3 separate regions of the Mus musculus genome follow, and all the other regions are reported to be linked to region 1. The links are microRNA targets in miRTarBase. Many come from high-throughput screens and were not tested one by one. Region 1 holds a microRNA gene; each other region holds the end of a gene's coding sequence.
The links. The annotated mature microRNA mmu-miR-546 reads AUGGUGGCACGGAGUC and lies in region 1 at 838-853, opposite strand. An mRNA with a match to its seed (bases 2 to 7 or 8) in the 3' UTR can be bound and repressed. Matches are read on the target gene's strand: a 7mer-m8 pairs with bases 2 to 8, a 7mer-A1 pairs with bases 2 to 7 and ends in A, and an 8mer does both.

Region 2: miRTarBase lists Ikbkg as a target of mmu-miR-546. The part of its 3' UTR that is shown has no 7-base or 8-base seed match.
Region 3: miRTarBase lists Dffb as a target of mmu-miR-546. Seed matches in the 3' UTR shown: 7mer-m8 at 1,361-1,367.

Annotation. Positions count from the first base shown.
Region 1 is chr10:126,996,170-126,999,323 of GRCm38, reverse strand. Mir546 (microRNA 546) reads right to left here and starts at 884; the gene lies at 764-884. Ctdsp2 (CTD (carboxy-terminal domain, RNA polymerase II, polypeptide A) small phosphatase 2) reads right to left here. Exons shown (of 8, transcript NM_001113470.1): 7 at 3,113-3,154; 8 at 1-2,963. The coding sequence ends at 2,838.
Region 2 is chrX:74,448,057-74,451,210 of GRCm38, reverse strand. It overlaps Ikbkg (inhibitor of kappaB kinase gamma), which reads right to left. Exons shown (of 10, transcript NM_010547.2): 10 at 1-2,994. The coding sequence ends at 2,852. Among named protein-coding and RNA genes, the nearest start is that of Ikbkg, 20 kb to the right of the region's middle.
Region 3 is chr4:153,962,769-153,965,922 of GRCm38, reverse strand. Dffb (DNA fragmentation factor, beta subunit) reads left to right here. Exons shown (of 7, transcript NM_007859.4): 7 at 310-1,474. The coding sequence ends at 553. Among named protein-coding and RNA genes, the nearest start is that of A430005L14Rik, 7.1 kb to the right of the region's middle.

The DNA of each region.
Region 1 (3,154 bases):
AACAGGAGTTCAAACCCGTTTTTAAAAAAGGAGTAGCCGTGGTTTGGAAATTCATCAAACCGTGTGTGTGTGTGTGTGTGTAGGGGAGAACTAGGACATTTTTAAAAAAGGAGTAGCCGTGGTTAAGTAGCCCAAAGGGGAAACAGCTCACCGTTTTCACTTAGCCAGGCCAACACACTGGATGCAGGACAGCACAAACAGGCCACACTGCCAAGAGGCCTCTGAACAGAGCAGGTCATGGACCTATAAGGGACCCATCTCCCAGGAATGGTTGCTGTGAGGGTCCCATGCTTTTAGTACAAAGCTTTTCTGAGCCACTGTTAACAGGGGGAGGGGGGTTATACAATTATACAAAAATCTTTGGGAGGGAGTGAGATAGGTCCCTGGTTGAACGAAGGCAAATTCACTCAACTTCTTTAATTAGGGACCCATGGGCCTTCGGTGTCCCCTCTACAATGTGCAGAGTGGAAACCCTTACCTGGCCCTTTATCAAACTGGTCCTGTGTCCAAAGCTCCCCCTATAAGAGGGACAGGAACGTCAGGCTTTTGATGCGAAGCCCAATCAGACACACACTGTGTCCCTGAAGAGGCACCTTAAAGAGCTGAACCCGGCAGGGGGCAGATTCCTAGCATGGCTTGGAGTGGATGCTGACACCTGGTCCGGTGGTCTACTGACTCCTGAAGACCAGTCTGCACTGGGGCAGGCGGGCTGGTGGCAGTGGAGCAAGGGCTTCAGGAGGCACTGGCTCCTCTCACTTGCCCTCCTCTCCTCCCCAGTATCACTTTGCTTCTAAAACATGGAACTAGCACAGGGATAGCAAGAGACAACATCTAGCTGACTCCGTGCCACCATGATAGATCCTGTTTAGTTTTGGGAAGAGAGGAGTTGATATGGCATCTTTGTGGCAGACTGCAGGTGGTAAGAGGACTCTGGTGGCAGTCAGGCCTAGAGAGCTGGGGTTTCATGGAGAAGTAACAGGGCTCCCATGAAGCCACACTGGGCTTTGGTCACATGGAGAACCAAGAAGCCAGAAAGGGACCTTAAAATTCAATCAACTCTGAGGCTCTTATTGCTTAGTCAAGACCAGCCCTCAGAGCTTTGTGAGAAGACCCCTCCTGCAGTATTGGGATGCCAGTGAGATCAGGGTCTGGACCTGAAGCCACAGTCAAGCTCCCATGTTCCTGGCTAGCACCTGCAGCCCTCAGCTCACCTTGGGAGGACCCTACAGACACCAGCAAATGAGGCTGGGGAAATGGCATGTGTTTGTCACAGAAGTGAAAGCCAAGGCTCCATAGCCTCGGGCCCAGGAAGAAGTCTGCAGAGTGCTGGAGGAATGCCAGCCAGTCTCCACTCACACCACCACACTCCTCCACCAGGCTTTCTCAAACCCCAGGCAGGACCTCGTGTGTGGAAACTAGAAAAATTTGAAAATATTGACTCCTGAGTGGGAGGTACCACACCTGAACCAACCCACAAACGCTGGCCGGCCTCCAGGGGAAGCAGAGATGGGGTAGGAACTCCCGCCCACCTCGGAGGGAGGCAGGGAGTGGGCGGGACTCACTTAAGGCAGTGAGGTGGAGGCCCCTCAGGGGCCCCTTGTGTTCCCAATGGTAGCTTTCCACTTTGGGGAAACTTCCACTCTGTGACTGACATTGAAAGCAACAGGGCTGAGAGCTCAGAGCTGCCCAGAGCACAGAGCTATGAGGACCTCACTCAGTCCTATAACGAGAAGCAGGAGGCATTTGGCAAATCAAGTAAGAGCAACACTTGGGACAACCAATCAATTAAGTACAACCGGGGAAAGTCCTTCTCCCAAGGCTCTGGAGAGGAAGAGCAGCAGCCGAGAAGGATAAAGGCGAGAGCAGACGAGAGCTGGCCAGGGCGGGACACCAGGAAGACACAGAGGGAGAGCCAAGCCCTCCCCAGCCTTTGGAGCTAATGTCCTTGCATCAGCTAGCACAGAACCCCTGAAGAGCACTTTTGGGATCTACACGCAAGGAGACAGACATCTTGCATTGAACATTTGCATTTTCTTTGTACCCCAGCGCTTCCCACACAAACCTCAGGCCCAGGACTGGAGCTCGGGCGAATATAAACCACTCCAAGTTTAGAAAGAGATTTTTAAGAGTTAAAAGAACAGAAATCAGCTATATGTCCTCCTCCAGGGCAGAGAGAAGACCTCCTTTCCCATGGGAGTAGGACTATGGCTTGGGAGTGAGAGGCTGGCCTGGCACTGGAGCCCGGGTACAGAGAAGTGCCCATGGCAGGCATTCTTGCTGGAGCCAGGTGTAGCCCATAGGACACAGAACCTGGTGGGTCTGCGAACATGCTCTCATATTCCCAAACATGTCTGCAGCTGCTGGCTAGGTTTCTGTGTTTTCTGAAAGATGTGTGTCTGGGCATCCAAAGCAGCCTCCGGCCTCTCCCTTCTCCTTGGCACAGGTCTTGATGCTGAGGGAAAGCCATGGTTTGGCGAGGGAGCCTACAATAGTTTTCATGGCTGTAAAGCTCAGTAGCTCACAGCATAGCAGGAAAGAAGACAAATGACTTGGGTTGAGTCCTTATCTTTCAGCTTCTCCCCCTACTGCACAACTGGGCACCCAGGACCATAGTTTACCGGACGGGCACATGCACGCACACACACCCACACAACCACCTGGGAACTGAGCACGGGGTGCAGAGAGCTCTGGGTCTTGGTCTGATTTCCTGCTCTGCGTGTGACCTGCTTTTGTCCCACACGCCCTGGCTACTTGCAGACCCCGTCAGTGAGGCTGACCACAAAGGCACAGTGTAGCAGAGTCCCCTGTTGGGATGGCCGTTTCTTGGAGCAGGAAGGCTAAGGGGCCCGCAGCTGCCCAAGGCTGGTGTAGACATCATCAGTTCCACTTAGCTCCTCGAAGACTGGAATCAGGTTCAGCAACTCTGTATCTGCCATGTCATCAAACCAGGACTGCACAGGCACCTGGGGCAGGAAAAAGTGACATTATCTGATATTTCCTTTCCTTTCCAGTGCCATTGGAGGCTGCTGGGCCACACAGGGGTTGTGGACTCCTCTGATAAAGCCCACGGGCCCAGCCTGCAGCCACCCCAGTCCCTGATGCGAGCACTCACTGCATTTTCTGGGTGGAAGATGTAAGATGCAGGGGAGTTGTC
Region 2 (3,154 bases), not on the chromosome of region 1:
CTAAAAGGTAGGCCTTACCTTGCCTGAGGGTGTCACACACAGGGCTGCAATTGTTCCTTTTTAGATATCATTCCTACCTACAATCTGCCTTATCGTTTATTACTTCAGTAGGTGAAGCACTCTGTACTGTCTTACTGGCTCTCTGGTTTTCTCTTGGGCATGGGCCAACAGGAAGAGAGCATACATAAGAAGCACTATCTATTCCAGAACAGGTCTTCTGGAAAGGGCATGCTTCTAGCTGTATGGATCTAAAAGTTGTCTGCCAGAGGCCACATAAAATTTGTGCAAAAGCAAGTAGACTAATTCCTGAGGGGAATGGAACGACCACTTTTTCCAGTTCTAGCTTAAGTAATTCTGCAAAAGAAAAGAGCATGTCTCATGTCAAAAAGATGGTAGAATCTCAAATCTTTGATGTACGGTTAATCATACACCATACTGCAGGGTAAGTCGGTGGCAAGGGCTCCCACCTTCTAGAAGGGTACTAGGTCCCAACCATTACCTTGTGCCACCCTCAGATTTGTCTTGACCAGTGCATGAAGCCCATGTTTTCAAGCTTCCTACTGTGTAACCTGGGTCACACCTGCTTTCTGGGACCCTTTCAGGATAAAGTACTGGTCAGAAATGCACCTATGCATCTCTGTTTATCCAAGAAGCGTGAAGCTCATGCAGCCACTGCAGGCAGCCCAACAGCTCTCTCCTACTATAGCCAACCTGCCTTTCCCAATCATTCCCACTGACCCTACTAACAGCATCAAGCACTGACAAGGGTCTGCCTTCAAACTCTGAAGACTACTGGTCATCACCCTAGAGACCAGGTCTCTCTAGCAGAATTACAAGGCTTTAAAGGCCCTGCCTTTGGGCTGCATTTACTCAGGTTCTGATGATATCCATACTCCGGGTTATATAAGCCCAAACCCCCATAATGTGAGAACAAGACTTTATTTGGGGAAAGGATCTTGGTAGGTGGAATGAGTTAAGGGTCTTGAACTGGAGATCCTCCTTAATCTAATCAAATAGACCCCACATGCACAACATGGTTTCCTTATGAGACAGAAGAGAGGAAGAAACCACAAGGCCCTAGAACCAGAAACTGGAGTGATGGGTCTATGAGCCAAGCAACACCAAGGACTACCACAAACCACTGAAAGTTAAGAGAATGCCTGGAATTGATTCTCACAGCCTCCAGAAAAAACTTAATATGTGGCTTCCAGACAGGAAAGAGTGATTTGTTGTTGTTGTTGTTGTTGTTGTTGTTCTTGCTCTTCCAAGTTTAGGAAAAATTTTAAAGCAGCTATAGAAAAGTGATATATACCACCACAAAACTGGACTCAACCTAAACCAATAGTATTCCTAAAGGAAAATTATAGATTAGGTATTTAAATGAAAACACATAAGCAAAGAACTTGTTTGTTCCTTTAACATTTTCCTAAAGATCTTTCTGATAGATACCTGGGAATTAGGAAATGGAAAACTTACTCTGCATCCCCTGAAAATTCCGAGAAAGCCCCCAGCTCAGGATTACTTTTTAAATCCTTTTTTATAATCTGAATTCTACTTAGCCTTCTCACTCTTAATGGGAAAGAAACCATGTAAATAAAAGCCCCCGGGATGGATTCACAGATACCACTCAGAACCATGAAAGCTTACAGGAGGGCAGGAAGGATTTAGACCTAAGGAATGAGCAAGGCATATTTATTGCTTTCTCAACTACAACTTCCTTTCCTTTACTAGAACTGCAGGTCTAATACCAATGACGGTAAGGTCCCACAAAATGTCTAGAACCTTGCAAAACAAGTGAAGTGTTCCCTTTTCTGTGATCAGTCAGTCACTGCTAAATGGTTCCCTAGGACATTTTGGCTGGTGAAGAACATGTGATCACAAACTCCAGGAGTGTGATGAACTATGGCCACCACCATTCACAGAAGGTAACAATGTGCTTGGCAAAAACAAGAGCACACTGGGGCTAGAAAAAGGAAAGCATACATGTGAAATACCTTTCTGTTGACAAAGCAGTCATAATTCCAAAGTCAAAAAACTAGGAGTAAAGAATGGGTAAGTAGGAGTATAAAACAGCTTCTAGGCCCCAAAACACTAACAATCAATGTGGAACAAGGGGTGCACTTCTGTAATAGTCAAAACCAACCTGACTGATAATCAAAAAGCTCTACAAAGCCCAAGAACAAATGGCAATGTCCCAACAGAAAAATGGGTAGGAATTATGAAAATCCAAGTTACATCAGAGGAATTAAAAAGGGCCCACATGCCCCAGAAAAAGACACTTAAGCAAATTCTTTAGTAAAGAATGGTATATCTTAGAGATGGCAAAAATCCAAAGGTCTGCCCACCTCCTCCAGGGCAAGGATCCAATGTCACATCTAAGCATCTGTCCTAAAGGTACACACAGATCAGTGTACAAGTACTTTCACTACACCATTAATTACAGTAACAAAAGGACAGAATACTTTCCACATGTCTACCAGAGGTAACACATGTTATAGACCCAAGTGCCACATGCCCTGGGAGGAGAGCCTGCAGTTCACCGGCAAGAAAGGTACCAGTTGGAGAGAAGAAAAGCTGTACCCAGACCTGCTTGGAGAAGGGATGCTCCCTAAGAGCCCCTGGCCTCCATTCTAGACTCCCTAGGACTATGGGAGAAGAGGGAAGAAGCCACCAGAGGCAAACTGGATCAGGCACACAGAAAAAAAAAAGCCCTGAATGGGGCTGTCTACCCTAAATGGGGGACCAAAGGGCTAAAGCAAGCCCTTAAGTGTGGACTATGCAGGTAAAACAGGAAAGCACAAGTCACACAGATCAGGACATAGTACTGCAAGTGGCCTTGCATCTGCTGCTCCTACTCTATGCACTCCATGACATGTATCTGTAGAGTGTCCATATCAGGAGCCTGATACTGGCACTTCGGACAACAGAAGTCAGGAGGTTCTTCAGGAGGGCTCCTCCGCTGGTTGGACAAGGCCAAATGAAAGGAGTGGTGAGCTGAGAAAAAAGAACACAGGAGTGTGATGAACTATGTAAGTACTTCATGCACAGCCTAGGTAGGCCTCAAATGGAAAGGGGGGCTAACAAGGTGCTGAGACTTACTGATACCACCATATTTGACTACATTGCTGGGAGCCACCTCCACCAGCACATTTTT
Region 3 (3,154 bases), not on the chromosome of region 1:
ATGTCAGGGATGGGCCAGTGTCAGCAGCCCACGGAACACGGTGCTGGACTCCTCTGGTGACTCATCCCTAAGTCCTGTCATTTTCTCAGTTGAGGTGCCCTCTTCCTAGATGACCCTAGCTTGTCATATTGACAAAAACAAAAAAAAAAACCAAAAAAACAAAAGAACAGTCGGGACTGCAGGAGGTTGCCTGCCGTGGTAGACACTGCATCCACAGACAGCGAGTGTCTGTGGCTCACGGGAGCGTGCACAGCAGCCCGTAGTGTGTGGCACTCACAGTAGAATGGTTGTCTCCCCCTGACTTGGTAGAATAGAGAAGAAGCGCACCGTGGTACCCACGCTGGCTGAAGCCATCCAGGATGGGAGGGAGGTGAACTGGGAGTACTTCTACAGCCTGCTCTTCACTGCCGAGAACCTGAAGCTGGTGCACATCGCCTGCCACAAGAAGACCACACACAAGCTGGAGTGCGACCGCAGTAGGATCTATCGGCCTCAGACAGGATCCAGGAGGAAGCAGCCTGCTCGGAAGAAGCGCCCTGCTCGGAAGCGCTAGTGACACAGCCCAGTGTGCAGAGGACGGTCAGTGCCGGTGCTCATCGTGTTCCTGTGGCAGGGTCTTCACGCTCACCGCCCCAGGGCTGAACTTGGCCACTGTGATGTGTGTGGGGTGCTAGTTTGTGCTGAGCTTTTATGGCTTCTATTTCTACTGCAAATGGCAGCTCTGACTATACGCCTCTGAAAGAAACGGTGCTTCTGGGATAAATGTTTGCATTTTATAACGAACATGCAGGACATCCTCTGCTGCATTGTTTAAAATGGCAGAAGGTGGGAAGCCATCCAGATGTCTCCTGGTGTGAACAGCCAACTGTGGCATTATTTTGAGCCATGTGAAACTGATGTTTTTAATGGGTTAAATAATGGCTGTCATGAATTTCATGACTCAACACTGATATATGTATGTACGCACGATTGGAGCAGGTTTAAACTTTCATGTGGAGAAATAGGGAACTGTTAAAGGCATAGATGGCTTTATCTGTGCAGGGAATGACCTTGAACTCATGATCTTCCTGCCTCATCCCTAGAGCTGGGACCACAGGTGTGCACCACCACACCTGGCATTTGGTTTTGTAAATGTGTGTCAGCTTGTGCATGGTCTGAGGAAATGACACTCTGTAACCCTGGGGGATTCAGCAGGGCTGAGATTGATCACCAAGTACAATCTCCTACATCATGTATTTTATAATACTTCATTCTGCTTTTTCTCTGAGACCGGGTCTCACTATGTAGCTCTGGCTGGACTGGAGTTCACTATATAGACCAGCCAACCTCTGCCTCCCGAGTGCTGGGATTAAAGGTGTGTGCCACCACGCCCAACCTGAGTTTATTTTTGAAATGGGCATTTTATATATTTTGTAATGTTTGGATTTTTATATTTGCCATGTAATCAGAAAAACAATAAAGTGTTTCTAAAATAGACATGTCAAAATTTTTTGAACATATTGAGGAAGATGGGGCTAAGGGTGAGATACTGGCAGGCAGAAATTGAACATTTATCTAGGTGAGTTCATCTTCACAGAGGTGGCAGGGCAGTGCCCGAGGCAGCCAGCCAGGTGGGGCTCTCTGAGGACCCAGCTGCTTGTCTTAGTCATGGATGCACACTGTTCACAATGTGTCTTATTCTGCTTTTCTGTCCTTCTCAAACACCCCAGGACGTGCACAATCACTGCCCCCTACAGAATTGTTGCCAGGACTGGGCTTTCTGAAGTTTGATGTGTGTGTCTGTGTGTGCGTGTGTGTGTGTCTGAGTGTATGCTAGTGCACCTCGTGAATGCAGGTGCCAGGTCGGTACGATCGGGTACCTTGGAACTAGAACTGCAGGGGGCTGTGAGCCATTATGTTGGAGTTGGAACCCAGTCTGGGTCCTCTGTGGAGCAGCAAGTAGAAGCTGAGCCTTCTCTTCAACCTCAGGTTTGCCATTTGTGGCCTCTGTCAGCCATGCCCCTGCCGGTGTGCTGGTGTGCTCTGCACCCCTTTTGACCGGAGGTTCTGTCTCTCCAGTGGGATGCAGAACACTCATTGCAGCTGGAATGAAAAATGAGCCTTGAGTGAAAGGCAGAAGGTTGTCCTAGGTGGGACATGTTTTCCTGCTTCTGGGCCCTCAACTGGTTGCTGATGAGAAGTATCGCAGATAGGAGCTGTCATCCAAACCCCTCCTGACTCCCAGGATAATGTAGGCAGTGAGCCCCAGAAAAAGTGAACCAAAACATATGTAGTGACTCAGATGAGCTGTCTGCCCCATGACTTTGTCACACAGTGAGAGATGGCAGAAAAGCCTGGGACTCATGAGAGCATAGCAGGTATCAACTGCACAAGCTGAAGGGCAGCGAGCAAAAGGTTTAGAAGCCAGAGTGCTGTGAGCTGCTGCCAGCTACTTGGGATGAGGAGTGGGCTTTCATTCCTGAGCGAGGCAGGGCCACCAAAGGCATCTAGGAATGCTTCTGGCTTAAGCTGAGTCCAGAGAAGGAACTGTTCCCAGGAGGCTCTCAAGAGCTTGTCCCCTGTGCCATGGGGAACTCTGTCTGCCCCAGGCCTGGGCCCATTTGATCTTTGGGAAGACTGGAGTGGGAACAACAGGTCTTCAGCAAGGTACCAGGTGACTGACCTTCAAAACTATCCAGGGCCTGACTGGGCTGTCTCCCATTGTCTGGGGAACCTGGAAACCAGACTTGTTTCCTCTGGACCCTGCGCTGAGGCCCCCACTCCCACCTCCCCCATCCGCTACTGTCTGTTGGTGGCCTGCTATGTTCACGGCTCTCTGCATCTTGGTGCTTGTCTCACAGGTGCCCACGACTGGACCCACCTGCAGGTGCTCAACTGCAGAGGCACGGGGACAACCTGTGGAGGGCGATTCTTTCTACCATGTGGGGTCTAGGCGTTGAACTTGTATCAAGCTTGGCAGCAAGCGCCCTGACATGCTAAGCCAGCTTGGTGGACTTGCTTTGGTTTTTTTCTGTTCTTGTGTTGTTTGCTGCTGTGGACTGTAAGCACACACTGGAACCTCTCCCAGTATCCTTTGGGCCCGATCCCACATCTACCCACCACCGTCTGGACTTTCAGAGGATGCCTGTGTACTTGTAACTCTCCCTTCATGACA